7 linked regions of the Mus musculus genome follow. The protein of the gene in region 5 purifies or fractionates together with the protein of the main gene of each other region. This does not show direct contact. Links are inferred from orthologs where the notes say so. Each region holds a gene or a part of one and is shown on either strand. Other genes may lie near its edges.

What was found.
Region 1: the proteins of Shc1 (region 5) and Lrrk1 purify together in Homo sapiens (affinity purification with mass spectrometry; 3 studies listed by BioGRID and IntAct, with this or other methods). This does not show direct contact. The link is inferred for Mus musculus from reciprocal best matches to the Homo sapiens genes SHC1 and LRRK1.
Region 2: the proteins of Shc1 (region 5) and Inppl1 purify together in Homo sapiens (affinity purification with western blotting; 4 studies listed by BioGRID and IntAct, with this or other methods). This does not show direct contact. The link is inferred for Mus musculus from reciprocal best matches to the Homo sapiens genes SHC1 and INPPL1.
Region 3: the proteins of Shc1 (region 5) and Gab2 purify together in Homo sapiens (affinity purification with western blotting; 6 studies listed by BioGRID and IntAct, with this or other methods). This does not show direct contact. The link is inferred for Mus musculus from reciprocal best matches to the Homo sapiens genes SHC1 and GAB2.
Region 4: the proteins of Shc1 (region 5) and Kdr purify together in Homo sapiens (affinity purification with western blotting; 3 studies listed by BioGRID and IntAct, with this or other methods). This does not show direct contact. The link is inferred for Mus musculus from reciprocal best matches to the Homo sapiens genes SHC1 and KDR.
Region 6: the proteins of Shc1 (region 5) and Crk purify together in Homo sapiens (affinity purification with western blotting; 3 studies listed by BioGRID and IntAct, with this or other methods). This does not show direct contact. The link is inferred for Mus musculus from reciprocal best matches to the Homo sapiens genes SHC1 and CRK.
Region 7: the proteins of Shc1 (region 5) and Ap2a1 purify together in Homo sapiens (affinity purification with mass spectrometry; 4 studies listed by BioGRID and IntAct, counting the BioPlex papers as one, with this or other methods). This does not show direct contact. The link is inferred for Mus musculus from reciprocal best matches to the Homo sapiens genes SHC1 and AP2A1.

Annotation. Positions count from the first base shown.
Region 1 is NC_000073.6:66,385,400-66,390,087, forward strand, and holds the start of Lrrk1 (leucine-rich repeat serine/threonine-protein kinase 1), read right to left. Parts: upstream 2,943-4,688; 5' UTR 2,821-2,942; intron 1-2,820.
Region 2 is NC_000073.6:101,834,627-101,839,247, forward strand, and holds the start of Inppl1 (phosphatidylinositol 3,4,5-trisphosphate 5-phosphatase 2), read right to left. Parts: upstream 3,199-4,621; 5' UTR 3,095-3,198; exon of another isoform or gene 3,039-3,094; intron 2,792-3,038; exon of another isoform or gene 2,326-2,791; 5' UTR 2,127-2,325; coding exon 1,945-2,126; exon of another isoform or gene 1,632-1,944; intron 1-1,631. UniProt on the Homo sapiens protein: Phosphatidylinositol (PtdIns) phosphatase that specifically hydrolyzes the 5-phosphate of phosphatidylinositol-3,4,5-trisphosphate (PtdIns(3,4,5)P3) to produce PtdIns(3,4)P2, thereby negatively regulating the PI3K (phosphoinositide 3-kinase) pathways.
Region 3 is NC_000073.6:97,301,644-97,305,654, reverse strand, and holds part of Gab2 (GRB2-associated-binding protein 2), read right to left. Parts: intron 3,287-4,011; coding exon 3,196-3,286; intron 2,632-3,195; coding exon 2,526-2,631; intron 1,506-2,525; coding exon 1,380-1,505; intron 780-1,379; coding exon 636-779; 3' UTR 1-635. UniProt on the Homo sapiens protein: Adapter protein which acts downstream of several membrane receptors including cytokine, antigen, hormone, cell matrix and growth factor receptors to regulate multiple signaling pathways.
Region 4 is NC_000071.6:75,954,360-75,958,370, forward strand, and holds part of Kdr (vascular endothelial growth factor receptor 2 isoform 1 precursor), read right to left. Parts: exon of another isoform or gene 3,006-4,011; intron 2,752-3,005; coding exon 2,605-2,751; intron 1,927-2,604; coding exon 1,795-1,926; intron 1-1,794. UniProt on the Homo sapiens protein: Tyrosine-protein kinase that acts as a cell-surface receptor for VEGFA, VEGFC and VEGFD. Plays an essential role in the regulation of angiogenesis, vascular development, vascular permeability, and embryonic hematopoiesis.
Region 5 is NC_000069.6:89,427,087-89,430,552, reverse strand, and holds the end of Shc1 (SHC-transforming protein 1), read right to left. Parts: intron 3,346-3,466; coding exon 3,107-3,345; intron 2,237-3,106; coding exon 2,108-2,236; 3' UTR 524-2,107; downstream 1-523. UniProt on the Homo sapiens protein: Signaling adapter that couples activated growth factor receptors to signaling pathways. Participates in a signaling cascade initiated by activated KIT and KITLG/SCF.
Region 6 is NC_000077.6:75,677,894-75,682,433, forward strand, and holds the start of Crk (adapter molecule crk), read left to right. Parts: upstream 1-1,365; 5' UTR 1,366-1,530; coding exon 1,531-1,771; intron 1,772-4,540. UniProt on the Homo sapiens protein: Involved in cell branching and adhesion mediated by BCAR1-CRK-RAPGEF1 signaling and activation of RAP1.
Region 7 is NC_000073.6:44,905,172-44,909,182, forward strand, and holds part of Ap2a1 (AP-2 complex subunit alpha-1), read right to left. Parts: intron 2,662-4,011; coding exon 2,553-2,661; intron 2,259-2,552; exon of another isoform or gene 2,072-2,258; intron 1,814-2,071; coding exon 1,663-1,813; intron 1,309-1,662; coding exon 1,140-1,308; intron 1,058-1,139; exon of another isoform or gene 1,038-1,057; coding exon 900-1,037; intron 697-899; coding exon 514-696; intron 1-513.

The sequences.
Region 1 (4,688 bases), on a different chromosome or scaffold from region 5:
AGAGGGGCCATGAGGACGATGTAGAAGGAAAGGGAGAGACTGTGTAGGTTTGGGAGGCACATGGAGAGACATGGGGCAGCAAAGCAGATACCTCAAGCTGGAGAGAGAGGCTGGGAACAGTGGGCTAGGGCCAGTGGGATGGCAGAGAGCTGGAATGAAAGGGAAGAGTGCCCCTAGATTTCATGCCAACCGCAAGATGAGAGTATTGGAGACACCATGAAGAGGAAGGACACAGCCCATCATCGGGCCATTAAGAATGTATGCACACCATTCTGTCCCCGTGGGGAAACCCACTGGTATACCAATAAAGGGACACAGCTATAAAATGGCTCCTGATGACACATGGCCATACCCACAAATCAGTCCACCTCAGAGAAGCTTCGTGCAGTAGATAGGAGTTAGCACAGAGACCCACAATCTGGACAGTGTGCAGAGAGTGAGAGACTTTGAAGCACTCTATTCGAACTGGGATTTCTTTGTCATGCTCCTCCCCTCAAGGCTCAGGGATCTATGGGTAAGATTAGGTAGAAAGATTGTAAGACAGAGCAGGGCTGATGCCCGTATGAACTCATAGAGACTGTGGAAGCAAGCACCGGGCCTGAACAGGTGCAAACCAGACAAAAATCCCAGCACCAAGAAAGGGAAGTGGCACAAAGTCCCACCTCTCAACCAAGAAGCTATGTGCAACTGTGATACCAGCTGGGATGAGGAGAATCAGCCTCACACACACATACGAATGCCTCCAGGGTAGGCCCTATGCCTAGTACGCGCGCGCGCGCGCGCTCACACACACACACACACACACACACACACACACACACACACAGAGAGAGAGAGAGAGAGACAGAGAGAGAGAGAGACAGAGACAGAGAGACAGAGAGACAGAGACAGAGACAGAGAGACAGAGACAGAGAAGAGAGAGAGAGAGATCCATGATTTTTGTGTGCCTTTTTTGTTTGTCTGGTTTGCCTTAGTATTCTTTGTTTTGTTTTTGACAGAATGAACATCAAGTTGGATGCATAAAGAGAAGTATCTGGGAGGAGTTGGGGCTAGGGAAAAGCATATGAAAAAATATATTGTATACGTAATTTTAAAAAGAAACATTAAAATAAAGAATGAATATATACGATATATCCAGAGCGGAGGGAGGGGCACATGGCAATTTGGACTGTGTAGGAGTTCGTATGTGCATCAGCCCTGTTGTGTCTCAAAAACAGAAGAAGGGAATGGACTGGGCCCACTTGGGGATGGAGCCAACAAGACTACTCTGGGATGATTTCTAGGGTTCTTCTTATTTTTAATATCTCTCTCTCTCTCTCTCCCTCTCTCTCTCTCTCTCTGTTTGTATGTTTGTGTGTGTGTGTGAGTGTGGCGTCCGTATGTGTGTGTTGAGATCATCAGATGACCTGCTGTTGGTCTTTGCTTTGCACCATGTTTGAGACAAGGCTTCTTCTTCATGTTGCCCACACAAAGCTAGCTGACCAGTGAGCTTCCAGGGAATCTCCCATCTTGAAGTGGGGGCATCTGGGATTGCACCTTTGTCTCATCTGGCTTTAAGCGGATTCTGAATCTGAATTCAGATCCTCACACGTGATCAGCAAGTGCTTTGTATACTGAGCCATCTCCTTAGCTGGTTTATTTAGTTAGTTATAATAATTATATCCAAACTATTAAGGAGACTGTTGTAGGTGTGGGGGAAGGAAACGTTTGGCTGACTAGAAAAGCCCCTCTAAGGACAAATTAGGTGTTGGTATGCTATATTCTTCTGGAACATGAGCAAGGACAATGAAAACCAAATCACAGAAAGAATTCAATGCTAAAGTTTTTCAAAGTGTACAAATCGTAGGTCCTTTGATGCTGCTATGTGAGTGTGAGTGACCAACTCATCAAAAATAGGTTATTTGGTGAGAATTTGCTAAGAGAATTTGCCTTTAAGACCCTATCTATCCTGCTCCGGTTTTTGCAGGGATGAGCATCATGTAAGAGAAAAACGTAATGGCCTCAAACTATTAAAAGCCAGACTGAACTGGCTGTCAGCATCCCTAGAGTCTCTCCATTGCTGTCTTTCTTACTGCCCCTCCAGGAATTCTTGTTCTCATCCATTAAGGACTGCCACTGGCTCCAAGCAACAGAGCCCATAGGCAAAGTGATGGGACCACAGGGTGAGAAACATGCCCCACGCGTGGAGCAGGGGAAGACCTCCAGACCATCCAGCACCACCCGGCTGTCCCGCACGCGCGGGAAGAGCCTCGCTGGGCCTTTGCCTCCAGCCACTCGCGCCCACGAACTCCCACGCTTAGACCCCACCCCCACTCCCAAGTTAAAAGTCAGGCTTTTTTTTTTTTTTTTTTTTTTCCAAACGCAAAAGAACTTTGTAGTCTCCCTAGTGTTTCCTACTTTTGTTTCTGAACTCGGCTCCCCGCCCCCGCCCCGCTCCGATCCCAGGCTGGTTTTCGGCTGCCCCAGCTCCCGGGTTCTAGCTCTGCACTCGCTTTAACCCTTCAAGGGGCGAGGGTCGCTGCGCAGCCCAGAGAGGCAGCGAAGAGACCCCGGGCAGCCCGAGTTCCAGACGCCCACCGGAGCTGTGACCTGCGGGTCCCGGACACAGGCCGGGGTCCGGAGCACGCGGTCGCCCGGGGTACGGGGTGCTGAGCTGGGGAGAGGAGCTGTGGGGCGAGGCGAGACGCAGGGCACAAGCAGGCGACGGCGGCTGCACGCGGGGACCCGGGCGCGGGACGGGGTGGTGCGGGCAAAGCTTGGATCTAAGGTGCGGGCTTCGCTCGGGTCCTCGGACAGGGCGCGGGTCGGAGCAGCACTTACCTGCGGCGGCAGGGTCTGGAAGCCGCGGATCGGCGACATCAGAGGGCCGGGGCCTGCCGGTCCTACCGTACTCTGCCCTGCAATGCTCTGGCCGCCGGGGGCCAGACGCACTTCCTCAATCCTGCGGCCGCCTGGCGGGCGGAGAGGGCGGGTGGCGCGGAAGCAGGGCTGTGCCAGAGGGTCGGCCGCCCCGACCTCCCCTGGATGGCCTGCCTCGGTTTCCCTAGCTGCAAGATGTCGGTGACCAAGCTCACTGCTCTTGTGCCTCGGTAGACGCTTGGGTCTTGAAACTTTGTGGACTCCTCTCCAAATTTGAATGCTTTGCTGCCTTCCCTGCGGACAGGCACAGTGACAAGGTTGTGCCTTTCCTACCCTGCTCGAGTAACAGATTAATTTTTATCCTGTTTGCTGGCCATATACTGTGACTGTAAATATTAAGAGAGCGAGAATATTAATGTGTGTGCAGGTCTTTATGGAGCGGTGCAGAAACTACATTTTAAAAGTTGATGTTTTGTAAACTGCGCTTTTTCACCACACGAGTTCGCTAACTTAAATTATGGACGTTTGCAAAGATATTACTAGCTGATGAATATTTTTCGATTTTCGAACTCCGGAGTAGCTGGGATTACAGGAGCATGCCACCCTGACTGGCTGCTTGTGGCGATGAGGTGGAATGTTGTCAGTTGATTCCACTGAAGTTAATAACCAAACGCGGCTATACACTCAGCAGGCAAGCTTCGGATTCCGCTCGTTTTCCCCGAGAAAAGATAATCCTTGGTAGAAAATCAGTACTGGACCGAAGTGCTTCTTACTGGTAAGAATGAATATTCCTGAGACCAAGTGCAAAGAACATTGACAGACCGCCTCACTGGCAGCTCACAGAATTTGAGAAGCCGTGGGCCGCCTGAGATATTTTGGGAACACCTCAAGTGTTTGTTTAGAGTTGGAGTTTGTATCCCTAGTTGGCAAGGCCACAACCTCGCAGCTCTTCTACGTTCGCTCTTCTTTTCCTCCATCGAACACTGTTACAAAAATGTAGGTGGGGTTCTGCAATCCTGTCCTCACCACCGAGGTCCTCAGACCAATTAGCAAGGCCAGCAACATGACTGCTATGGAAAAGTCCCTAATAATTTGCAAGGCATGGCGTCAGCAGTTTGAATGAGCCTGGCTTGGTGGCGCCTTCAGGGCATACATACATCACTGCCACCTAGCGTTACTAAAAGGAAGTCCATGTCTAGAGCCAGGACCAACACACACTAAGAGGACTTGTGTTGCCTATGCTTAAGTGGCAAGAAATTTTCCACTTTAAACAATCTTAGAAATAGGTTAAGAAAAGTGCCCAATTTAAAACAAACAAACGAGCAAACAAAGGTCTGGAATATTCGACACATATATGAGCTTTTTTTGAGATGGCCATATCACAGTATTCAACTGTACCCAGTAGGTGTGTTTTAATCACAAGTTTGCAAAGGAGACAATTACAGAATAGCTAAAATTCCTTCTCACTTCTTTTTCATTCCTGCAGACCCATGTTTTTCTTGGGTTTGCTCACATCCCACCCTGACTTTCAGTCTGAGGTTGGAATTACCCTGTCTACAAAGGGGTCCTCTGATAGACAGTGGTCAGAGGTAGATCAGCCACCCACCTCCCTGAATGAGCATGACACTGCGGAGGCTAACTGTTCCTTTTGTCTTCTGACACTCGATTTTATTCAGCCAAATGCTCACTTTTGTTTGATGTCTCCCCCCCCCACACACACACACAATAATTTAAAGACCCTCTTCCGGTCTCCACCTACAATCACAGTTGGCTACAAGGATTCTAGTAGGCATTAGAAAGTAGGCACCCACCAAGAGCTGAAACTAGAA
Region 2 (4,621 bases), on a different chromosome or scaffold from region 5:
CATTTTGTGGTATCTGGATCTGTATTGATGACAACAAGAACATCCCAGTCACCAAACCCTGACTGTGCTATGCATTCCACATAGCTCGTTTCATATTCATACTGTACAGCAGATACATTAATATTTCCAGATGAGAAAACTGGGGCTCAGGAAGGAAAAAAATCATTTGCCCAAGGATACAGAACAAACAAAAGGTAGGGCTGGCTGGTATCGAGTACGAGAGCAGAAGCAAGTTTGTCTGTCAGGGTAGGGGTGTGTCTTGAATGTTCTTTGTGTACTGTGATGTGTGTATACGTAAGCATGTGTTTGGGAAACCTAAGAAACCAGCCACTTCTGATCCCTTCTGCCAGGCTCCTGAGAGCTGAAATCTGCCTCCCTATAAACACACACACACACACACACACACACACACACACTCCTCCTGACAATGGAACCAGGATCTCTCTTCACTGGACAATAGTTCCTTACCCAGAGAAAGCCTCAGCTGTCCCCCTCCCACTCAGCAGCTGATCCAGCACCTGCCCTGTCCCCTCCCTAATTAAGGGATCTGTTTAGAGGTAGCTAGGAGGCAGAGTCTTGGGATTTTTTATGGACATTAAGATGTCTGGCTTTAGTCTCTCCACACTAGGTGGACCTCCGACTTGTTGCAGAAGCCGAGAGGTTCCCAGAACCCCTCACTCAGCAGGTCAACTGTCTTGGCCAGCGTTCTCACTGTCAACACTACTACTAGCCTTTGGAACCACCAAATCCTTTGTCATCTTAGGTATGACAAATATGTAGCAATATCTTTGTCTCCTCTCCACCAAATGCCCACAGCCCCATCCCAAGAGTAACAATCAAAATTGTTCCCAAAGGTGTCAGAAGAAGGAGAAAGATGGGACAGGAAATGGGTTGTTTAAGAGTATTTTCACTAAATCTAAACGCAAGCCCCTAATGCTTCTCACAGGGGCCCACTTAGTGTGGAACTGTGGGGCAGGGAGTAGAGGTCAGAAAGAACACTACAAACCATTACCACACACAGCTGCCAGGGGCAGTCACAGAACCTGGCCCACTCAGAAGACTGCCAAGTCTAGCTTTAGGCTCAGCACTCATCCACGGCCAGATAACCAGAGCTCAATCTAGAGCCAAGAGAGACTCACTCATTGACTCATGAAATGAAGGTTCTGAGGGCTGGCAAGATGGCTCAGCAGGTAAGAGCACTGACTGCTCTTTCAAAGGTCCTGAGTTCAAATCCCAGCAACCACATGGTGGCTCACAACTACCCGTCAAGAGATCTGATGCCCTCTTCTGGTGCCTGAAGACAGCTACAGTGTACTGATTTATAATAAATCTGCCGGCCTGAGTGAGTAGAGTTGACCAGAGCGAGCAGAAGTCCTAAATTCAATTCCCAACACCCACATGAAGGCTTGCAACCATCTGTACAGCTACAGTGTACAGAAAATAAATCTTAAAAGAAAGGAAGAAAAAGAAAGGAAAAAAAAATGAAGGTTCTGTCCCACACAGCTTCACCCTGTTGCCTCCCCCAAGTCTTCCTCCCAACACACACTATTCAACTCCACCCTACAATCATATATAGTCGCAGAATTGCCCAGGCGTCCAAACACTGGTCTCTCTGCCCCCTACTGCAGTGCTTTAAAACGAACTGCACTCATGTGGAGCATGCATCCTTTCCCTGTACATCTGGGAGAAAGTCTAAGCTGGTCTACCGCCGTCTGCCACTGTTTCTTGCCATCACACCCACCCTGAGCTTCAGAACTCTGGCCTCGGGCCTCAGAAAGTGCTCCAGGCACAGCAGGAAGTGCTCCCCTGTATCCTTCCTCCACCCAGCGATAAAGTCAAGGTCTCCCCTGGAGACAGGGCTGCAGCCCCACCAGCTACAGTCACCCCACTACCACGATTGCCACCACAACCAAGGAACACTCGGCGTGTGCCCGCCCTACTCACAGGACGCAGAGTGCGAAGGCCCCCGCCACGCTCTCGCTATCTCGCACCAGGAAGCTGCCATCGCGGCCCGCCCGAGCCAGGAGCTCCTCCGCAGCAGCGCGGCTCAGGTCACGGTGATACCAGGCTGGGGCCGGGCTGCCTAGCGCACCCCCGGGACTCGGTGTCCCACACACTGAGGCCATGGCCCACGCAGGGCTCAGCGCCGCCGATGCCTGCCGCTCCGCGCCATCCGCCCGGGGAAGCTTGAAGTCGAGGTTGGGCCCGGGTCCCGGGACTAAGGATCCACCAGCCCGAGAGAACCCAGTATGTGGGTTCCACGCTTGGCCGCGCCAACCGCCTGGATCTCCGCGCAGCCGCCGCCGCCCGCAGCGCCGGCCTCAACTTGAAGAGAAAGAAAAGTTTGTTCAGAGGCGGCGGGGGAGGGGCGGGAACGGAGCTAGGAGCTGGCCGGTCCCCTCCCCCTCCACTCGGCCCAGAGCCCGGGCCGCCCCTGCCCCCAGCCTCTCTCGGCAAGGACGATGCTCCGACAGCCCTACAGGACCCGCAAGACCAGCACCTCCCAAGTCCCACAATTATTTTGTCCCCCCACCTCAAGAAGATCCAGTTCCCCGGTACCCGCTCCGGGACAACTTGTGAGTCCAAGTTCTCGCTGGTGAATTCAATCCTTCCAACGATTCGCAATGAGATGACCCCTAATCCCTATGCAAATCTGATTCTACTACACACATCTCTTCTACTCGGCACCCCCACAGCCTTGCGGGATCAAGGTTCGGAAAGCAAGGCTCCAGGATAGACATCCACAACTACTACAACATCCAAGAGAACAAGTTCTCGTAACTCCTATAAGGTCAGAGGCCCCTTCAGACCTGAACCCCCCAAAACGATTCCTGACACATCCCACAAGATCCCAAAGAGATCCGATACCCCACCCCACACATACGCGCGCGCTCGAGGTGCCTTTCACGCACCGGTCCCCGCAGGCCCTCCAGCCTGGCAAAACCCTTCCCCCATCTCCACCAAATTGCCTGGCACCACGCCCCACACCCGCAGGCCCAGGTTTTGCAGTCCCAGACCAGGAGGACCCCCTCGACTACCTAGAAAAAAAGTTCCCTCAAGTCTCAGAGCCTCAACTACCGAACGCAGGCCCCACCTCTAGGGCGACTCGGGTTGACTCCTAGCCCGGGGAAGCCTCCCTGGACTCCCCGCGGCCACTTAAGATGGCCATCCGCCGCCACCGCGCACCCCGCGCCTTCCGCCCCGCCCGCGCCCCGCCTCGTCCGCCCGCGTCCCGGTCTCCGCCGCACGCCCGCAGAGTGACCTCGGGACAGCCTTGGCTCTTCAGTGCGCCCGAGCTTCTCGCTTTCGATAACTGGGGTAACGTTACGAGGGCGGGCTCATTGGGGCTCTGCCTGTAAAGCTCAGGGCCTGGCATGCAGCGTGCGCTCCGGGACGGCGGCTATTTTTATTATTAATTAAGGAGTAACGAAGGTGACAGCTGTGTAAACTGTAAAGCGCGACTGGGGACTGAACGGGTATTATTAGCACCGCCCCCGCTCCGGCTACTCCCTCCAAATCAACAAACTTGCGCTTCCGTGGGCCAGGTGCGAGCAGGGAGCTCCTAAGACTCTGGCTGCTAAGACCTCCCATCCACCGACCCCTGGGGCGGAAAAGGGGACCCGGCGGGAGAAGACGGGGCGGAACCCAAACAGGGCTTTGGCCCGCCCTATTTCCCCCCTAAAAAAAGACCTGGATGGTGGTGGCGTCTCCAAGGATTTCTCTTCCTGCCCCGCCCCTCTGCCCCCTGGCTCCTTAAAGGCGCAGGCCTCTAGCCGCTTGCCTACAACCACCAACTCCTAGAGTCTGTCAGGAGCATCCCTTTAACCTGGGAGAGAACTTTCGCTCTGGTAAATTGAACCTGTTGACCGAGCCTGGGGTCAACCCTGAGGAGTTTCCCTCTGTTTAGAGGATAAGCCAATTTGCATTGGCTTAACCCATCTAGAACAAAGCCTGGGACGTGACGGGTCTGTAGGGACCTTCCAGAACAGATAAATACAAAAACAGAGATCCTCCACCCACCTACCTGTTTCTCCTGGTCCTGCCAGGGCTTAAATAAAGTAACATCCTCCAATCTGTACCCAGCTCCTCCCGCCGGGAATGGAGGACGCCCACCCCAGATCCCGGGGGTGTGCAGTGGGGTCTTACTTTCCTATGCCTGTATTCCCGACCCACAGGAGGCAGAAGCAAATGGAACTCTACCTAGTTGTAAGCCAGCTTCCTTGGTCTAGACTTCCAGCCCATCCAAGACTACATAAGAGATGTGGCCTCAAAGAAAGAAAGGAGAACGAGTTGGAGAAAAGCTGTCACGACCCTCCAAAATCAATATATTTACAGCTTCCTGAGAGGACGGCGATGCTAAAGACTGTGTCATTGGGGTGAGATGGCTTAACAGGTAAAGGCGCTTTTGCCAAGTTTGAAGACTTTGAGTTGAACCCCAGGGACCCATGTGGTGGAAGGAGAGAGCTCCTGCATGTTGTCCTCTGACTTCCACACCTGTGCCAAGTCATCCATGCAGCCCACACACCTAGGCACACACTCAGAATAAACACAAATACAATTTAGCCGAAGGCTAGAGGGTGCTTCTGCCTCTGGGAAGCCACTAATAGTTTCTTTGGCTTCA
Region 3 (4,011 bases), on a different chromosome or scaffold from region 5:
CATATTCCAGTCTTCAGCAACCACCATGGCCTGATATTGGGTACCACCCTGCAGGTTATCAGCTACACTCCCATATCTGGGGACATACTTTCTTTCTCACTCAAGGCAACTTCCGACTTCCACTATCAACCATTTCATCTTGTGTCACCTTGCCTTTTCCTTGCCAAAGTTGCAGGGATAGGAAAACACATGTGTACTTTGGTCGGCTGGTTCTTGGCTCCCTGGGTTATCATTCTCCGCTGGGGATGGAGAAGCAGCCCTGAGGTAGAGGGTAGAGAGCAGTGAGCAGACACGAGGCATGAGCCTAGCTCAGAGCTTCAGCCCTCCCTCTAAGAGTCCAAGCAGCAGACAAATGGGTCCAAAGCAGGAAGCTTTTTTGGCAACAGCTCCTAACTAAGGTGGTGGAGGCACAGCTAGTATTGACAGAAGTCATAGGTGGAACCCAAGTGGCAGAGGAAGTGTCTCCACCAGGCCCTTGCCTCTGATGGGAAAGGGTCAGGTCCCTGATGTTGAGTGCTTTGAAGGCTGAAAGTGGTACAGGGGAGAGAGGTGTAGGAAGAAATGGAGAAAGAGGTGACAGAAGAGGCAGGTCTGGGCAGCTGCCTCATGGCTCTTGAACTTGGTGGCCCCCTTCATTACAGCTTGGCACCCTTGGAAGGTTCGGAGGACTGCCGCACATCTGTCCACTCCTGCATGGTGTTCTGCAGGGCCTGGGTCTTCTCTTTATCCACTTGGACATAGTCTACCTTCTCATCTGATGTGACAGATGATGTGGATGGCTGAGGGGACAAAAGAAATGGCTGAGTTACCTACATAAGGCTATCACTTTGAATGTCTGTGCTGAAGGTGGATTTCAAAGTGAAGTAGTCTTCTGTTGGAGGCACCAAGCCTGCTGACACCTCATTCTCAGCTTTCAGGATAACCTGCCAGTCCTGGGCCCTGCCTCTGGCTCAGGCTTTCAATAGTGCCTCCACCCATCTTCCTTTGGCCACACCTCCAGGGAAAGGGATGTGTTGGATGACAATAAGCACCAGGCCTTTATGCCCTCACAACACACTGAGGGAAAGTGTGTTGAGGTGGACTTCCCTGGCTTTTAGGGCTGAAAGTGGTTCTTGGTGAGGCTTTCCCAGGCCCTAAAGTCCCTTCCAAGGGATGCTGTGTCTCATTCAGACAGTTTCTCTCTGTCTCTCTCAAAGGAAAGGAAGAGAGGATCTCCATCTCCTACATTGTTGACAGAATTCCTTTGTAATCATGACTAATCCCTGTGAGTATATCCCACGGCAAGGACATGAGTAGACTGACGCTCTGCAATGCTCATATAAAATGTCTCTGCAGAGGGGCTGCTGGGATGTGTTCCCTCCTTCCAAACTCCCAGGTACCTTGCGGTGAGGGCTTGGGGAGCCCGGCTGGAAGTCCAGGGCGAGATAATCCACACTGCCAGTACTCTTCTTTGGAGCTGGGCTGTTAGTGCCACTGGGAACAGGGGATGCAGATACTGGGTTTTGCTATGACAAAGAGTAAAACTGGGTAAGTTTAACAACCTAAACCACCACCTGGAAAACTACCTCCAGGGGCAAGAGCTCCTCTACTGTGTCCTGCACTGAGCCAGTGCACTGAGACTGTTCATATTCTCATTCATGTCTTCACAGCAGCCCTGAGAGGTGGATATCACCACTGTTCAAATCACTAGAGGTTATAACACTAGATTCAGGAAGTACAGTGAGTCACCTACATTTATATAGCTGGTGCATGACAAGAGCCAGGGATGTGCTCTGACTACCAAACCTGTGCTAATCCATGTGCCTGCTCCCCACACCCTAGGCAGACTAGGGGCAAGTCTTAGGTACTGTCTATCCTAAAGCCCCAGCCTCGGTTGGCAGGTCCCTGGTGAGTACATCCTTCCACACTTGGTAATGCACAGCTTCCTAGCACACCTGGACACAAGCAGCTCATGCTCTCTGCTCTTCTCCAGAGACCTGAACAGTCACCTTGTTTCTGGGTGACAGGCCTTCATTTCTTCAGCCATTTCCCACGTGAGAAGTTCTAGGGCTCTGTCTTCAGCTTTAAAAGAGCACTTTATGTCTAAAACGTGCCCATGATCTGACTGTAGTAAGAAGTGATAGTCCCATTTTAATGACTGATCTGTTTCTCGAACCTCTGCAGCCTTGGCAGCTGTACCCTTTTTAATGACCCCAGAGAGGAACTGTATTCTGCTCTGTGTGTATTTCTACTACTACATCACACTGCATGGAGTTATATATCTCTATGTCTCCCCAACACTGTCTCTCCAAGGACACCCATCATAATGTCACCTAAATTAGAGTAGTGAGAAAGGCAGGCCACCTGGGATCTTTAAAACACAGATGTCCTTGGGGGTAAAGCTGTGTATTTCTAATGGCTAATAACCCTGTTGTTTGACAGTCATGTGTCTAGGAAGGGTCTGCATCAGGAAGCTGACGTCTATGGCCATGGCCTGAGCTGGGAAGAAGAAATGGAAGACGGTCCAGTGACTCTCAAGGACTCACCATAGGGACATAGTTCTCCTCACTGTCTCCCGAGTCTGTGCTGGTGATGCTCTGTGTGGAGATAGGACGGCAGTACTGGGAGGAACTGGAGTTAAAGGTGTGGCTGCTGGACAGAAAAAAAAAGAGAGTGAACCCTGAGAAGTATTGGTTCTTAACCCCAGACCTGGCCTCTCACCTGAGTTTCACACTTCCATTATCAGATAGATTTAATATAGGGACATTTTAATCATTTCCCCTTCACAGAAGAGGAAAACAATTCCCAAGAGATCAAGAGACAGATTAACAAAACGTGGACGATAATTGGCATGTGGCACAGCAACAGATGTGGGAAGATCCACCCTCAATGTGTATAGTACCAGCCAAGTAGACAGGGGCTGAATGGGACAGCCAGGACAGGCATACATTTTGTTTTCTGGCTGTCATGCTCTCTCCATCCTGTTTTTGCCTTGCCACAGGCCTCAAGTGAGCCAAGTGACCACAGACTGAATCATGAACCAAAACACATCTATCCTTGTCTTGAAGTGTTTATACCATATATTTTGTAGCAAAGACCAGAAACCGAACAAAGCTCCTGATAGCATTATCATCAATGTCCTGGTGTCCTGACTGCTAGGCCAGCTATCATGCCACCCAATTCTGACCCCAAACTTTTGGTTTTGCAGTCACTCACTTGATCCTGGACCAAGACTTGGTGACAGGTGACTTGAAGGGCAGCTCATCGATGACAGTGTTGTTTCTCAGGTCAAGGGGTGTTGGCTTTGCTAAAGCAGGAACAGAGTTCAGGGATCAGTGACTACACTACACACACAGACTATATGTAACACGCCAGCACTGTACAAACGCTGTCAGCTTTATACAGGGCATCTGAGGCTCAGTAAGGACATACAGATGGCTTGGTTTCAGGACTCCCACAGATATCAAACTCTAGATACTTAAGTCTATGTCTTTGTCGTCACATTCTAAAGTATGTGTCCTTCCCACTGTATCTATAGTAATCAAGACTTCCAGAATCCAAAATGGGACTTATGGGTCTGACAATAAAGATTCTCCCTAGGTTTTATGACTTCTCATGAGAACAGATTGTATTCACAATAGAGATGGTCATTGTGACTACTGCTGTTGATTTTGGACAGTGTTATACAAATAACAGTGAAGGAAAGCAAAGGGGCACAGGACCCTGTAAGGCTCAAGGTCACATAGTCAGAGTCACACCCATGGCTTCCATCTCTGTCTAACTTCCCCAATTCTCCTTTTCAATCCCAGCAGAAGTCCAGTTTGGACTCTAGCATGTTTTCCTGATCTCCACACAGACGATGGCCCTACTACTGCACACCTGCAGTGGACTATGTGAAGCATTCCGGACACTTTCCCTATAAACAAATCCGAAGTGTGAATTTACATTATCTGCACAGTTACATACTTCTAAGCCCAGTATCTACCCAATCTCTAAGCAAATGCTATCCAGAGATGAGATGGGGCAAAAAGT
Region 4 (4,011 bases), on a different chromosome or scaffold from region 5:
AAATGCTTAGCACCAGGTGATTAAGAGAAAACAATTATCACTTAGGGTCTCAGTCTCTCCACTCACACTGTGCAGTGTCAGTTGAAATGAGCCTCAAGCTGGGAGGCTTGAAGCCAGAAGCCAGAAGACAAGCAATTAATTAGTTGGCAAAATAAGAGTTACCAGTTGGGAGTGAGCTCTGAGTGCATCTGTAAGTGGATTTGGTTTCTCTGATGTTTCCAGAGAAGTAATGGTTCTACCTGTATGTAAAGGCTTAAAAGCCTACTCATGTAAGAGACAGAAGAAAGGTCAAAGATTCAATGGTCTCAATCAGTTTATGTGTGAATAGTCTCATATTAACATCTGACAGCTGAACTTCTGTAGAAGCATTCAATGTCTACCCTCTCCTCTCTCTTCCTCTCTTCCTCTCTTCCTCTCTTCCTCTCTTCCTCTCTCTCTCTCTCTCTCTCTCTCTCTCTCTCTCTCTCTCTCTCTCTCTCTCTCTCTCGCTCCCCCCCACCCCTTTCCTGTCTCCATAGTATCTATGCCACTGTGCCCACATAGGCATGATAACCTAATGCAGATGGCTAGTGGGTGGAGGCAGAGTACCAGAGAGAACTGGCGGGTGCATCCTCCCTGGATTTGGCACCAAGCCATGAACCACTTTGGTAGTGACAGAACTACCATGCACTTTGGCATCTTCAGTTGCAGGTGCAGTTTATAGAATCCTAACCATCTTAGAGATTTGAGAGCATGCTAGTGGCTCTAGATGCAGCACTGGACATGGTGAGTTGGGCAGATGAAAGGGGCCAACATTTAGACTTGGAGATGTTAGAATTCTGCCAAACCTACCTCTCTAACCACCCTGAGTCACCCCCTTGCACACCACTCCTTCACTCACACAATAGAGTCACATTGTTCCCTTAGTGTATTACAAAAACAAGATCCAGGAACGCTCTTCTGAAGATGAAATGTTCTGACACAGAATACTGACTGAAAAACAAAGGTTAGGGTTCATATCGATCATACACACACACACACATAACACACCCATACACACACACACACACAAAACACACTCATACACACACACACTCTCTCGCACACGCACAGCCAGGGGAAACGAAGTTTCCTTTCATATTTCAATTATAACCCCGGATTGTCCATATCACAAAAGCAATCACCTATTAATCATCTATTGTTTATGAGTGAATCTTGTCTCTGCTCTGGGGAAAATCCTGAACCTTTGATCCTTGTCACTAGTTGAATAGCAATGCCCAACACCAAATCTATTTTTCCCCAGGTATATATTGAAGTGTCATTTCTGTGAGTTAACCATTCAAACAAAGTGAGAATCGGGAACAGAAAGGCATTTCTTACTCATGGCAAATAGTTTTCTCACAGTGATGACTACGTGGACAGAAAATATGGTACAGACTGAAGCGCGTGCTAATTTTGCTTTCTGGTTAAAAGGACGCAGAGCCATTGAAGATAGATTACAAAGAACACGTGGAGAAACCGTAACTCAGACCTCACAGACGAATAAGATCTAAAACTTTCTGAGCACCGACCCCTAATTTCATGTGACAGATCCCAGTCAAAAAAGGTAGGTACACTGAAAAATATTGTGTAAAATTGCCTTCAGGCTATGTACACTTGTGTGACACTTAAATGAACATCTCAGAGACGAGGCTTAACAACCACCAGTGTCACCATGAGTCACCCACAAGGCATCCTACTCAAAGTATGTGCAGCTATGTCCAATGCGATCGAATTGCCAGAGACCATCTGATGAGCCTATGACATCACACTGACCTTCTATTATGAAGAGCGTCTCCGCTCTTGCACAGCCAAGGACATTGCAGGCCTGGCAGGTGTAGAGGCCTCCATCCTCCTTCCTCACCCTGCGGATAGTCAGGTTCCGGTTCCCATCTCTCAGTACAATGCCTAAAGGAAGAAGGAAATTCTTGCTTTATTTCTGATGGGATGCTTTGTCCATGGCATTAAAAATAAAAACTAGTTGCTGCCCTTTATCTCAGACCATTACCTAACTCTAAAGAGGTGCACAAGGTTGACTACTGACTGCTCTCCCATGGGATCTACATGCAAACTCAACCGGACTCCAAACAAGCTGCTTGTGACTCTGAAATGAGCCAGACCCTGTACCCACATTTGTGTGTTCCACGGGAGGGCATGCAAGTGTATAGAGGCCAGAGGTCAATGTGAGGTGGCTGCTTTATAGCTTTCTGCCTTATTCTTTGGCGACAGGCTCTCTCTCTCTCTCTCTCTCTCTCTCTCTCTCTCTCTCTCTCTCTGAATCTGTAGCTTGATGACTCAGCTAGACTGGCAAGTGAACTCCAAGGAGGCATTTGCCTTCCCATCCCCCCACCCTGCCCCTTAGTACTGAGATTCCAGAAGGATGCTGAGTCTAGCTTTCTACCTGGCTTCTAGAGATGAGAATGCAGTGCTTGTGCTAGTGCGGCAAGCATTTCACTGAGTCATTTCTTCGAGTCCCCTAAATACTGCCTTCTGTCTACTTTGAAACAAGCCAATAAGTGATGGTAGTCTTACCTAGCATCCATCAGAAAAATTCTACAACCAGAGAAATAGACAAGTTTCACTCACCTGAATCTTCTACCAGGGTCTCGTTGTCTTTGAACCATGTAATGTGTGGGGTAGGATTTCCAGATGCTGGGCAAGTCACTTCAATGGTCTCGCCAATGGTTGTTGTCTGATTCTCCAGATTTCCGGTGATCATGGGTGCCATGCGCTCTGTGCACATAAAAAGAAAACTGTAAAGCCCACGGCTCAAACAGCTTTCATGTCCTGTGACTATTAAACGGTTCTAAACCTCATAAGCAGGAGCCCATTAATAAACCAAGCTCAAACTACACCGAACTTGGCAACAGCAACCCTGTTGGATGAGTGAAGTCAAACAAAATAAGAAAGGACACTTCAGACAGACACAGAGGCTTTTAAATATTCACATTAGCCACCCCACATGCAAATCACACAGTACTTGGGAATCTTTGGGGATGGTTTTATTCAGGTTAGAGGATTTATTTCCCTCCAATTCCACAAGGCTTTCCCTAAGAGTAACTTCTTCTCTGGAAAGTTGTAGCCTCTAAGAGTAAAATTCATGTTTTCCCTTAGGAAAGACAAAACTTCAGGACAATTATGTAAGGAGTGACTTACATAACTTTGGATAACTATATCATTTCTAATATTTACTGTCAGTCACATATAATGAGAGCCACGCCATTAGCCTTATTTTTATGTGATGTGATTGCAGTCCAGGTTAAGCACCTTACCCTATAACTAAGTAAATGGTTGAGATAATAGTAGAGTCTGATGGGCCTAAAACTCCTTCGTGGTTTCCACTCAAACACAAACCAAACAATAATATCCTACGAAAAGCCAAGGCCATTTGTCTACATGGACAGCAAAGCCTGAGCTTTACCGTGCTCCTGAAAATCACCCAACTGCAGTAGAAACATTGATGAGCATCAGGAAGAATCATGTTGAGAGAATCTCTTCCACACTTAGCAGAACGTGGTCATTTCCACCATGTACTATATATATCAGAGTTTAAACAAGTGTACTTGGCTCTGGCCTACTTCCAAGAACAGAGTTTTGGAAACAACAGAGGCATCCTTATAGAAGCATACCCACTGACTGTGATAGGAAACTTCCTGGTCATGGCTAAGCCCAGAGCTCCCTTCTAAACTTGCCCTCATCTGGATCAGCTACTGTTAACCTGATATAACGGGTCCTATGTGTGGTGTGATCTCTAGGGTCTTGGGAACAACTTCACTCAGAAACATCTGTCCTTCTGTCCCCAAGTTTCTTTTTAATAACAATCATATGTTAGCATCTATTTTCAAACACCCCCTCAGATAAGCCAAAGCACTTAAAAATGATATTCATGTAAAATGTTGATGTAGATTAGTTAGCCTGGGCAGTTCACCTTTCTCACACTATAAACCAGAGAAGATGCACATCACGAGAACCTCAGAGAGCACAACAAAGAAA
Region 5 (3,466 bases):
AGGGGCAGCGCAGCCCCCCCGAGCAGCAGCAAGCCCTAGCCACGCCGAGGGGGAAAGCACAGAGCCGTTGCACCAACTGCGCGCCTGCTCCAGACTCACCGCCCGCCCGCAGCCACAGCAACCGGAACCGGAACTCCAATGGGTCACCACCACGGAACGCGGTGGGGAGGGAAAGCAGGGAAGGGCCCAGACGCCGCACCCAGGAAGGCTGGGCCTCGCCACGCCACTCCTCCGAAGTGCGCCTGTCGCCGCCCAGCTAGCCCGGTAGCAGAGTGGAACGCACCACTCGACAGGGGCCGTGCGAGCTGCGGGTGGGCCTGGGGGCGGTCCGGACACGCCCCTTCCCGCCGCGAGCCAGTCGCCTTGCAGATACGTCCCTACCGCACAGCCTCGCAGCTCCCCAAATCTCTGCAAACTGGTGCCTGCGGGCTGGCGCTGGCTTGGAGCCCACTGGACCTAGCCCAGATGGGGTCCGTCACCACCTCCCACAGACAGCCCCCATCAATCAGACTTTCCAGAGGAGTTGAGAGGCCGAGGTAAAAGAAATACGAACTTTAATGAAGACTATTTCCCTTTGGTATAAGACATCCAAACCAAAAATTTGGCGACCATTCCTTGTCCAGAAAGCCTACACACAGAGTGAGCTTGCAAGGTTTCTGTGCTGGCTGCAGCTGCCCGAAAGCAGAAGGTAGGATCTAAAACTATCACATCATAGTCCCACAACACTGCTCAGCCAAATTTCTGCTCAGTTGTCTTGGCGAAAAAGAAAAAGGGGGGGGGGAGGAGTGGGGTACAATCCTGTCCTAGTTAAGGCCAGGGAGTAAAATCCCAACAGTTGTTTAAAAAAAAAAATAAAAGTTTGGAAAAGTCATCGAGGTGATGTATAAATGTAATTGATTATCATAATTCTGTGCTCAAAAGTCAGCAATGAAAAACAAAACCAGGAAAATAAATCTACAGCCCTAAAATGTATACATGTTTTTTAAAAAAGAGAGTGCAGTTCCAGACCTGCAAATGGTATTGGGGATTGTCTACTGCTTCAGTCTTATTGCCTCCACAAAACCCACACTGACTGTACACACCCTGGAGGCCCAAGTCAGACGCACACACCTATCCCAAAGGAGGGAGGCAGGATGGGGTTACAGTGAGGGCTATACTTTGGCTGTAGACTATAACACACATGCAAACATGGGAGGAGCAGGCTTGAGAAATGTATACAGACCCCTTGGAGGAAAGGCATTGAGGTCAGGAGGCACTGAGCAAGATGGGTCCAGTCCTGCCCCTCCCCGCTACCATCAGGAAGAAGGCTCTGGGGTAATCGCTCTTTTTGGTTTTTGGAGACAGGTTCTCTCTCCATAGCCCTGGCTGTCCTGGAACTCACTCTGTTGTAGATCGGATGGCCTCACAATTCCTCCTGTCTCTGCCTCCTGAGTGCTGTGATTAAAGGCGTGCGCCACCATATTCAGGCTTGGGGCAATCTCTTAAGGGCTGCACATCCGAAAGGCAGAGCAGATAGCGGCCACTCCTGTCCCTATTCTCCCTAGACACAGGAAGGGGTGCTGAATAGGACAGGGCTCCAGAAGCCAAGGTGGCAGTAACCCCTGTCCACACGTGAAGGGCCTGAGAACTCTGCATTAAGTATCTGCAGACCTATGATAGTCAAAGGCACAAAGTTTAAGGGGAAGCAGAGGGAGTGGGATATGTTATGCGGGATCTGGGGTACCCTGAAGACCCAGGAGTAAACCAGAGGTATAATTATTTCCCTTCCCCCAAAGGGCAGTTGCTCCACTGGGCCTATCATCACAGGGCATTTTCCATTATAAGAACCCACCCTTTGGGGGGGAAGGGCATCAGGTTGGCACAGGCAAGGCCCAGACAAGGGACCACTCTGCACATTAATACTTTGGTGAAGTTTGGCCAGAGGCAGGATGCTACCCCAGGCTCCTTACTGAAACCCTCTTTTTCTCTCTCTCAAGTGGGCACTAAACCCATGTCCTCGTTGCTCCCAGTTCCCACCCAAGGCCAGACCCACAAAACAGAGGTCCCACAAGTTAGAGAATACGGGAGACGGAAATGGAGAGCATCCTGTTGGAGAAGCTGAGAAGGATCACACTTTCCGATCCACGGGTTGCTGTAGGCACAGTTCGCTGCCCGCAGAGATGATGGGCAAGTGATTGTCCATGTGGTAGCTGATCAGGTGACTGACACTCTCAAAGCGGTGATCCTTTGTCCGAACCTGGGAGGCAGGGAGAGAAGGTTGGGTCAAGAGAAGAGCTCAGGAAGACTGAGGAAGGCGGGCCAGCAGCCGTGATTATCCAGGCATCTTTACAGAAAAGACAGTCACATGGGTGGGAATGGGCAGTGAACTGGGCGAAGGGGAAGGAGACCAGAAATCACGGAAGCTGACAGTGAAAATTCTGACTTGAAGGAAGCTGGTGTCTCTCAAAAGTGACACAATGCAAAACCAAGGTGGAAAAAATGCTGAGAAGAGAAAAGAAACTGAGCAGAGCGGTGGCGGCACAGCCTTTAATCCCAGCGCTGGGGAAGCAGGGCAGGCGGAGCGCTTCAGTTCGAGGTCAGCCTGGTCTACAGAGTGAGTTCCAGGGCTACACAGAGAAACCCCGTCTTGAACCTCACCACCACCCCTCCCCTAAAAAAAAAAAGAAGAAAAAGAAAAGAAACCAAGGTTGTATGGAATAGTAAGGCAGGTTAGATTTGTTGAAAACAAAACAAAACAAAACAAAACCCTGAGTTTGAAGCTAAGGAGCTAGGGAGGCTCCTGACTCCTCTTGCAAGAGAAAATTTGGGGTCTCCACCCCCTAACCACTGACACTGGGCACCACTGCCTTTCCAGTGTCATTTCCTCACTTAGCAAAAGATCAAGTAAGCACTCTCTGGGGGCTGGCAGGCTTCACTGGGATGTGAGGACTGGTCAGAACTGAGAAGAACACAGCTCAGACTCGAGGACAGCAGGGAAGGAACCCTGAGCCACTGCAGGTGGATGCAAGTGTCCAGCAAGGGCAAAGGAGTCCACAGGAAGCCTCCGGCAAAGGAAGTCTAGAAAGCAAAACCACACCAGCCCCTGCCACACCTCTGTCACACTTACCACACCTTCAGGGTCCACCAGCAGCAAGTGCTTGGGCTGCCCACTCTGCAGGCCAGTGAGCACATACTGGCCAGGCGTGGTCGTGCTCTCTCGCACCAAGAAGTCACCATTGAGCTGCAGCAGCGCCTCGGCCTCCCTCCGGCTCAGCTTCCCGTGGAACCAGGGCTCCCCTTGCAGCTGCTCAGCCATGGACATGGACTGCGGTGGGGGTGGCACCCGAAGTGCATCTTCAAAGGGCTCTAGGGGTGTAGAGAGACAGCTGGGAGAGGTGCCCCAGTATCACCTGAGACCCAGACTCAGTGTGGGAAGCCAGGTAGGGGAGAACAGGCAGAAAAGAAGGAACAACGGAAGGTGGGGCTA
Region 6 (4,540 bases), on a different chromosome or scaffold from region 5:
GTTTCCCAGAGTCTCTTGTAAGGTCTTGCCTTGAAGCTCAGCTGTCCTGAAAAGGGAGAGAGGATAGTCATTTGCCCCAAAGGGCCAGAATTTACACTGGATGGCTTCTGCTGCTAGTTCCTGGTGACTAAGCTAGATCAAGATGAGTCACTGGTAACAAGGAAGGGGCCCTTTTCCCTGCTGTCTCTCCCAGGGCTGGCCCAGACTATGGGTGGGAGCTCTGGAAGGCCGGAGCTATTGACTAGGCTAAGGATAACTTTGGTTTTGTAGTGAGACCGGGTCTCACTATATACAAAACACAGTAGTAACAGCTATGCAATGGTGGCACACACCTTTAATCCCAGCACTGGGAGGCAGAGGCAGGTGGATCTTTGGGTTCGAGGTCAGCCTGGTCTATAAAGTGAATTCCAGGATAGCAAGAGCTATACAGAGAAACCCTTCCCTCCCCCATTTTTTTATTAATTTTTTGAGATAGATGAAGATGATCATGAAGGAAGTAAAAGTAGGAGATACACCTGGCTACAACTGAGAGTTTAAAAAAAAATCTGGCTGGTGGATATGGGAGCCCCAATAGAGAGAACTCCATTTTTTTTTTTTTTTTTTTTTGGCCTGGCTGGGCATTTTGTTTTCTTTGCCTTGAGTACCCTTCCCCACTTCATTTAACATCCTACCATTCACCCTAGGTCATCTTATCTGTGGACCCCTTCCTCTTATTTGTTTTGGTTTTATAATACAGGGCCTCAGACTCACAGGGATCCTCCTGTCTCAACTCCTGAGAGGTTGGGATAACTGTCATGAGTCACTTTACCCAGCCCTTGGGTCTCTCCAGGACTACTTAGTTGATTTCCTTGTGTTTCTGCCCCCCCCCCGCCCCCATAGCAGATGTTGTTTCCTGGTCCCTCCCATAGGTGTGTGAATTCAGTGACTTAAAGCCAGTCTGGGTCAGCACTGCACCTGCGCGGCAAATGCGGTATCTGTGGCTGCTCATAGATAACAAGAACTTCAGCTGACCTCGGGGGAAACCGAAGGAAACACGGGGAAAAGACCAGCAAGTCAGGGAGCTTTGAGGGCGACTATCATCCTCGGACCACATCATCTTTTTTAACTTCAGTCCTTTTCTTGGTGTTGCTACTTGTAGGTTCTGGGAGAAAAGACCGGCCGCTACCAATCTGTCAAACACGGATCAGTCAATTTGTAGGTTGAGGCTCCGCCCCTTAGACCTAGACTCCGCCTCCCCATCCTCCGCGGTTGGGGTCTGGGCCTGGCGGCGACGCCCAGGACGCCGCATGCGCACTGAGGGCCCCAAGGACTCCGTTTCCCTTCTCCCAATGGCGGGCGTCGGTCCCCTTCCCGGCAGCCTCCCTCGGGTAGAGGGCGCGTCATTTCCGGTGGGGAAGGCCCGCGGCCGCCGCCGCCATTTCGGGCGCTGCTGGGAGGCTGACACCGGAGCCGGTCCGCTGGGCGGCGGGCGCCAGGGCTGGAGGGGCGCGCGTGCCGGCGGCGGCCCAGCGTGAAAGCGCGGAGGCGGCCATGGCGGGCAACTTCGACTCGGAGGAGCGGAGTAGCTGGTACTGGGGCCGCCTGAGCCGGCAGGAGGCGGTGGCGCTATTGCAGGGCCAGCGGCACGGGGTGTTCCTGGTGCGGGACTCGAGCACCAGCCCCGGGGACTATGTGCTTAGCGTCTCCGAAAACTCGCGCGTCTCCCACTACATCATCAACAGCAGCGGCCCGCGCCCTCCAGTGCCTCCGTCGCCCGCTCAGCCTCCGCCGGGTGAGGGACAGGCGGGTGGGAGGCCCGGGCGGGGGTGAGGGCCGTAGAACCCTGGTCTGCTGCAGGAGGGACGTGGGCAGAGAGGGCTAGAGTGAACCTGGCGGGGGAGCTGTCTTCTGAGCAAGCTGGTTCCCACCGATGAGCGGGATTGTGGGGGAGGAGGAGCTGCTCACCGAGGCCTCTGGGTGTGCCTTGGGAGCCGGGGAAGGGGAACTGCTGCGGCCCCGGGGTGGGGCTGGGCGCCAGGGTCAGGCCCAAGGGCAGGGCAGGGCTAGGCAACTTGGGGACAATGAGTTAATGGGGATGTTACGGGGACATCATTTGGCAGTGGTACTCAGAATGGCTCTGCTAATCCTACAAGTGGCTTTTAGGCTTGAAACGTTTCCTGCAGTGTTAGAGCCGGGTTTGGCCATACTCCCCTGGTGGCCTTCGGTAGGAAGTCACCACGTACTGACTGGCTGGCTGGGAGGGATGGAGACACCCTCAGGAAGCCGGTCAGCTTTTTCCTTTCTTGGGCATTTTTCCAAAATATCTTTACCGTGCTCTTCCCTTGTGGAAGGTGGTGAACTAAGTGACTTGGTGATAGAAAAAAAATCCTTCTGTGACCAGCCCCGCGTAATTGAAGCCTAGCAGGCAAATTGTGTCCAAGAGGTTTTAAGTGTCCAAAAAAACTGCCCGCTGCAACTAGAGTTTCTAGTTTCAAAGTGATTAGTGGAGGAAGATTTTTTTCCTTTAGAAAACAAACAAACAAACAAACAAACAGGCATAAGCCAGTGAGAACAACCTTGGAAGTGAATGGCACTTCATTCTCCCTGGATTTACTTAAAAAGTGTCAGACACGTACTTCTGGGTCTTTTCTTGCTCTCTAAGTTGGTGTTGTGGTCAAAATCTTCCAGGATATGAGAACAGACCTGGCTAGCAGATAAACACCAAGAATAATTATCCCACTGTTTCCTCGTCAAGGACCATTGAGTTTTAACTGTCTTAGCTGTCTTATTGCAGTTGTCTTGGCAATGTTAAGGGAATTCATGCACTTAGCCCTTGACGTTTATGAGATGAACAGTGATTCTGAGATTTCTGTTGTCTCTGTGTATAACAGCACCAAGCTTCTTGCTTTCTGGATGTTTGAAGTGTAAGCTTTTTCCTTCTAGAGCTGAGCTAGTCTCATGAATGGAGACTCACTGGTTAGCCTTGTAGCAGACTTGCATTTTTGGGATAGCTCTAATTTAGATTTACTCCCTTTGGCCACAAAGTGGGATTCGACGGTTCTTTGTGTTAGCACACAAGTTAAGGGGAAAATTTGAGTATTGAAGTCTTTTTAGTTAACAGATATAGACCTTTCTACGTCTTGTTGTTTTTTTTTTTTTTAAGATTTATTTATTATATGTAAGTACACTGTAGCTGTCTTCAGACACACCAGAAGAGGGTATCAGATCTCATTACAGATGGTTGGAAGCCACCATGTGGTTGCTGGGATTTGAACTCAGGACCTCTGGAAGAGCAGTCAGTGCTCTTAACCATCTCCAGCCCCTTGTTGGTTTGATAATATAAAATCAGATAGGAATATTAATGCAACACAATTGCCCTAAACAAAGTAAATTCTATATTTGTGCTATCTGTAAAATAATCTATTGTTTTGTGCTAAGTGCAATAGTAAGATGAAATAGTAAGATGAAATTCAATTCTCATCCAGATTTCATAGTTCATGCTTCTAATCTTGGCACCTAGGAGGCTGGTGCAAGAAGATTTTTAAAAGTTCCAGGCCATCCTGGGAAACTTAGAAAGACTGCCTCAAAGTAAAAGTTATGTGAAGGGTTGTGACTGGGGATCTAGTTGAGTGGTAGTTTATTTGCCTGGCATTTGGGCAGGCTAGGTTTTATTCCCAATAGTTGGGGGTGAGGGATTCAGTCCTCTGCTTTCTCTGTATTTTATTAGAAAATGTGGGAAAAGCATTAGGCAGGCTTATTAGTTTAATAGTTCTCTATACCTGGGCATTGTGGTTTTATATCTCAGTAGCTCCACCTTTTCAAAATAGGTGGTTGGCCTCAAAGAGGAGAAGATTGCCAGTTTGTGGGTTAGGTGTGGAAAGTTCATTGGCTTTGTGGCAATTTGTTCTGTCACGTTCCCCAATTTCTCTATAGGTCAGTCAGTTCACTTGCTAGTTTTTGTTGTTGTTGTTTGTTTGTTTGTTTTTTGTTTGTTCGAGACAGGGTTTCTCTGTGTAGCTCTGGCTGTCCTGGAACTCACTTTGTAGACCAGGCTGGCCTCGAACTCAGAAATCCATCTGCCTCTGCCTCCCAAGTGCTGGAATTAAAGGCATGCGCCACCACTGCCCAGCTGCTTGCTGTCTTTATGATGGTTACTTAATCGCTGTCCTTCTCCCCATTAAGCTGGTTTTCTTTTGAAGCCACACAGGAATTACTTGAGTTTTAGAGAGGCGTGTATAGTGTATAATTTTAATAGTTAACACTTATTGGTTGATTATTGTATGCTAGATGCTTTGCTAAATGTGGTGTATGCCTTATATAATTCACTGTCAGTGAAACAATCCAATGAGTGAAATATTACAATCTCCATTTATTAAAGTATTTTCTTGGTGCAGGGGGAGAGGAACTAGAAATCTAGTAACTTGTAACATTCAGTATAAGCCAGAATTTGAACTAGACAGGGTGACCTGAGAACTGACCATGTGTTGTATAGTTTTGATAGTCTTTGTTTATTTGCTTTGGGATCGATGCAGTGCACATAGGAAACCCCATTCTTTTGTTT
Region 7 (4,011 bases), on a different chromosome or scaffold from region 5:
TTTTTGAGACAGGGTCTCTCACTGAACCCAGAATTCCCATTTTGGCTAGCTTCGCTGGACAGCCAGCTCCCAGAACCTGCCTATCTCTGGCCCACAGTGCTGGAGTTACACACACGCGCACACACGCACACACGCACACGCGCACACGCACACACGCACACACACAGCTTCTGCATGAGTGCAGGGACTGAAACCCAGACTCTTGCCCTAGCCCAGCGGGCACTCTACCACACATCCCTGCAGCCATCCACTCCCTGTCACGACTGACTGCAACCCCTGAGCCTGTGGAGCAGTGCACAGGGAGGAATGAAGGGGCCAGCTCTCCTGCACAGATGCTGTGTCTGCTTCACGCCCCCTGGGAAGGTACCATGGCTGCAGCTCCCACGTCCTAGGGTGACTCAGCCAAGGCTGGCTGAGCAGGAAGCTGGCACCTGCTGGAGGGGCAGACGACTGCCCAGCTGCTCCTGACTGGCAGCCGCGCTCCATTACGGGGTCAACGCGAAGGCTGCTAACCTCAAACACTGTCTTGGCAGCATAACCCTGGACGTCATCACGGTTGGTGACGATCTGCAGCACGCGGTACCACACCTCCTCGCTCACATAGTCGCCCGCGATGCGGATGAGGTTGAGGATGGTGTCCACGTACCAGCTGTAGTCCACTGCATACTTCTCAGCCAGGATGGCCACCTTCAGCACCTGCGATGGGAGGTGGCGATGTGTGAGGACAATCATGCCCACGGGAGGGTGACTACTGCCAGTCCTGGATCTATGATCATGGCTGGCCCCATCGTAACACCCAGGGGGGCTCTCCCTCCCCAGACTCCTCCTTCAACCTAAGGGGCCAGACCCCAGCCCTCCTCCCTCACACTCAGGTGTCCAGCCCTGTCCTCTAGACTCACGATCTCCTCTCGGATGGCATAGTCAGCAGTCTCCAGGTACCGCAGCATCTCTGACACAATCTGCTTGGCATTGCTCCGGTCACACATGGCATACAGGAGATCAGCCGCCCGCTGCCTCACACTGACGTCCCGCTCCGTCTGAGGAAAGGAGAGCAGGAGTAAGCTGGGATCTAAGCTGGTACTGGGCCCACTGTAGGCCATCAAGCACCAGGCCTCTCTGAGTGGGGCAGAGGGCTGTACCTTGAGGGCATTAATAACTGTATCAATGTGGGTCTTGACGGCCTCGTGGGAGAACTCGGAGCTGGCCAGCGTGCACATGCTCTCCAGGGCCAGGTAGCGCAGGTTAGTCTCCCGGTGCTGCAGGAACTGGCCCAGCTGGTTGCAGGCGCGGACCAGGAGGTTGGGCTCACTGGCAGGCACAAGTGAAGTGTACATGGAGACAAGATGTGAGTCTAAGGATCCAGTTTCTCACTTCTGCCCACCCAGCATCCTACTGGGTCCCTCCTAGGAACCCTCAGGAGCCCAGATAGAGGGAAGCACTAGAGTGGGGATACGGCCAGTGGAAACCAGCCCTGACTTCAATCCTCGGTAGGCAGGATTAAACTAACAAGCTAAGCAGCCAGCTGTTCTGCAGCCACCGCAGGGGACCATTTCACACCTGTCCTCTGCCCAGGCCCTGCTGTCCCTCAGCCCCAGGTGTTAGATGCCAGCCTCCCTTCCACAGGCCAGTGGCCCCGCCTGCCCACACCTCTGCCCACAGCACCTGTCATAGTGGATGATGAGGCTAATGGTCTCAAAGAGGATAGCGTTCTTGGCGTTGGAGTGCTGCACCTTCTTGGACTTGGGAGGCTCCTGGGCCTTGTTGAGCACAGTCTCCAGACACTCCACTAACCGCCCTTTCACGGCTGCATCCTCTGGGGGAGAGAGAGGGAAAGAGGCTGAGCCCTCTGTTCGGTGGGCTCCAAAGACTGCAGCCTGCTCTAGCTCTCACCGTCCATGGAGGGGCCCAGCTGTCTTCAAGCCTGGCAGTCCCAGGCTGGGCCTCTGCCTTTTAATGTAGATCAGCAATTTCTAGGTCTGGGCTCCTACTCATTCCATACTGACTCTGCTTGGCATGAGTCTCCACTCCTGTGAGCCTCAGTTTCCCCTTCTGCTGCACTGATGTTCCTTAGGTTTCTCACAGAAGGATGGAAAACCCAGGAGCCTATCCCAGAGCCACACGGCACTCAAGCTTTTCCCAAGGAGCTACCATAGAGCTCAAGAGACGGACTCTGAGCTACCACCCGCGAAGGCCACTGCACACTGTTTGGGTGCCAGGGGTTATGAGTTTAACAGAAATAAAGCTGATTGGAGTCCCCAGAGTGCCTCACTGCTGCAGGGGAGGGATACTAGGCAGAGCCCAGCTGCACAGGACAGCTGCTAGGCAGAGTGAGACAACGGCCCTCTGCTGGAAAGCAGCACACTAACCAGCTCACTCCACAGGACCGAGAGCTACGGGCCTAAGACAGGACGAGTTGTGCCACCCCAGGTGCTGCATGGGGCAGGGCACCAGGCTGTGCCCCCCACTCTCACCCATAGCTTTCCACGAGTCTGGAGGCACAGCCTCGCTTAGGACAAGTGGGAACATGGATGCTGGCAGTCCATGGGCCTTACCTGGTGGTGGGTAACACTGGAGCAGCCGCAGTAGCTTCACAGAGAGCCAGGGTGCAGGAACGAAGTAGTAAGTGTAGTCCTGGAGGTCAGTGGAGGCTGAGGAGACGATCTGCAGGAGGAAAGAGTGATGGGCGGGTAGACAGAAGCAGCAGAGGGGCCTGTCCCCTGAAGGACACACGGTTACGACAGGACACCACGGGAGTCAGGTTTGACAAGAAAGGGGAAGCCAAGGCCTGAATATAGGGTGGCCTGAGGGTGGGACCAGAACTAAGCCTGACGGCCTCAGTCAAGAGCCTCCTGCTTCAGCCTCCTGAATGTGTGCACTGTGCCCACCACCTCACTCGCTTTTCCAAGCTATGCTGGTAACAGTGGAGCAGAAGTCTCTGCTAGTTCCCTGTGTGACAGTCTCTAGGGCAGGCTACAGCCTCTCTTACTGCTGGGCTCTACCTCTTACAGCCTGAACCACCATGGTTCCTGCATTCTCAGCACAGAGGAACTACTGAAGTGACGAAGCTGGGTCTCATCCTTCCTCCATCCCTGGTCAGAAGATCGAATGAAAATCACTCCTCAGGGTACCCTCTGACTCCACCTCGAAAATCCTCTGCAAGCTGGGCAGTAGTGGCAAAAGCCTTTAATTCCAGAACACCAGAGGCAGAAGCAGGCAGATCTCTATATGTTTGAGGCCAGCCTGATCTACAGAGCAAGTTCCAAGATAGCCAGGACTATACAAAGAAATCCTGTTTCAGACAAACAAACAAACAAAAAACCCAACAACCTTCTCCAGGAAGCCTGCCAGCGGCTGACAGTGACCTCATCTCTGTACCCTGTTGGGCCTGGCACCTAATGCATTCAGATGTGTGGTAACTAGGGGCTTGAATGGTAGGCATAGGTGTTCCTTCTCCCCGAGGACTGAGACACTTATGGCCTCCCGGACAGCACTTTCATTTTTTTCATTCTGAGTCTCCATTTGGATTGCCATCCCCAGGAGCTCTCCTGTCTCCCAAACTGGACTAGGACCTCCGCGAGGTGCCCATGATGCTGACACACAGCCCTTGTTGGCAGTCTATGACTGAGTCACCGTCCCCGTCACACTCCCTCTCAGCAGGACAGGGCGGCCCTAAGGTCTGACTCAGACATAGAGAGCCAGGCACACAGAAGGCTCGGGGCGGCGCTCTGGGGACAAGGGTGGAGGTGGTGGGAGGCAAAGGAGGGATGTGTAGACAAACAGGAGGAAGAAGAGCAGGCAGGGGAGCTGTCAGCACCTTACCACAGCAACCATGCTGCAGACCGCACTGACACCAGCCCCTGAACCACACAGGAAAAGAAGCAAAGAGAAGTGAAGCCATTTGCCTGGGGGCACACAGCCCGAGGAAGCCAATGCAGAGTCCTGGCTTCTAAGCACAGGCTGGCTTGCCTTTTAGGGAAGGGAGGAGAGACAGATATCACAGACACAGGGGAG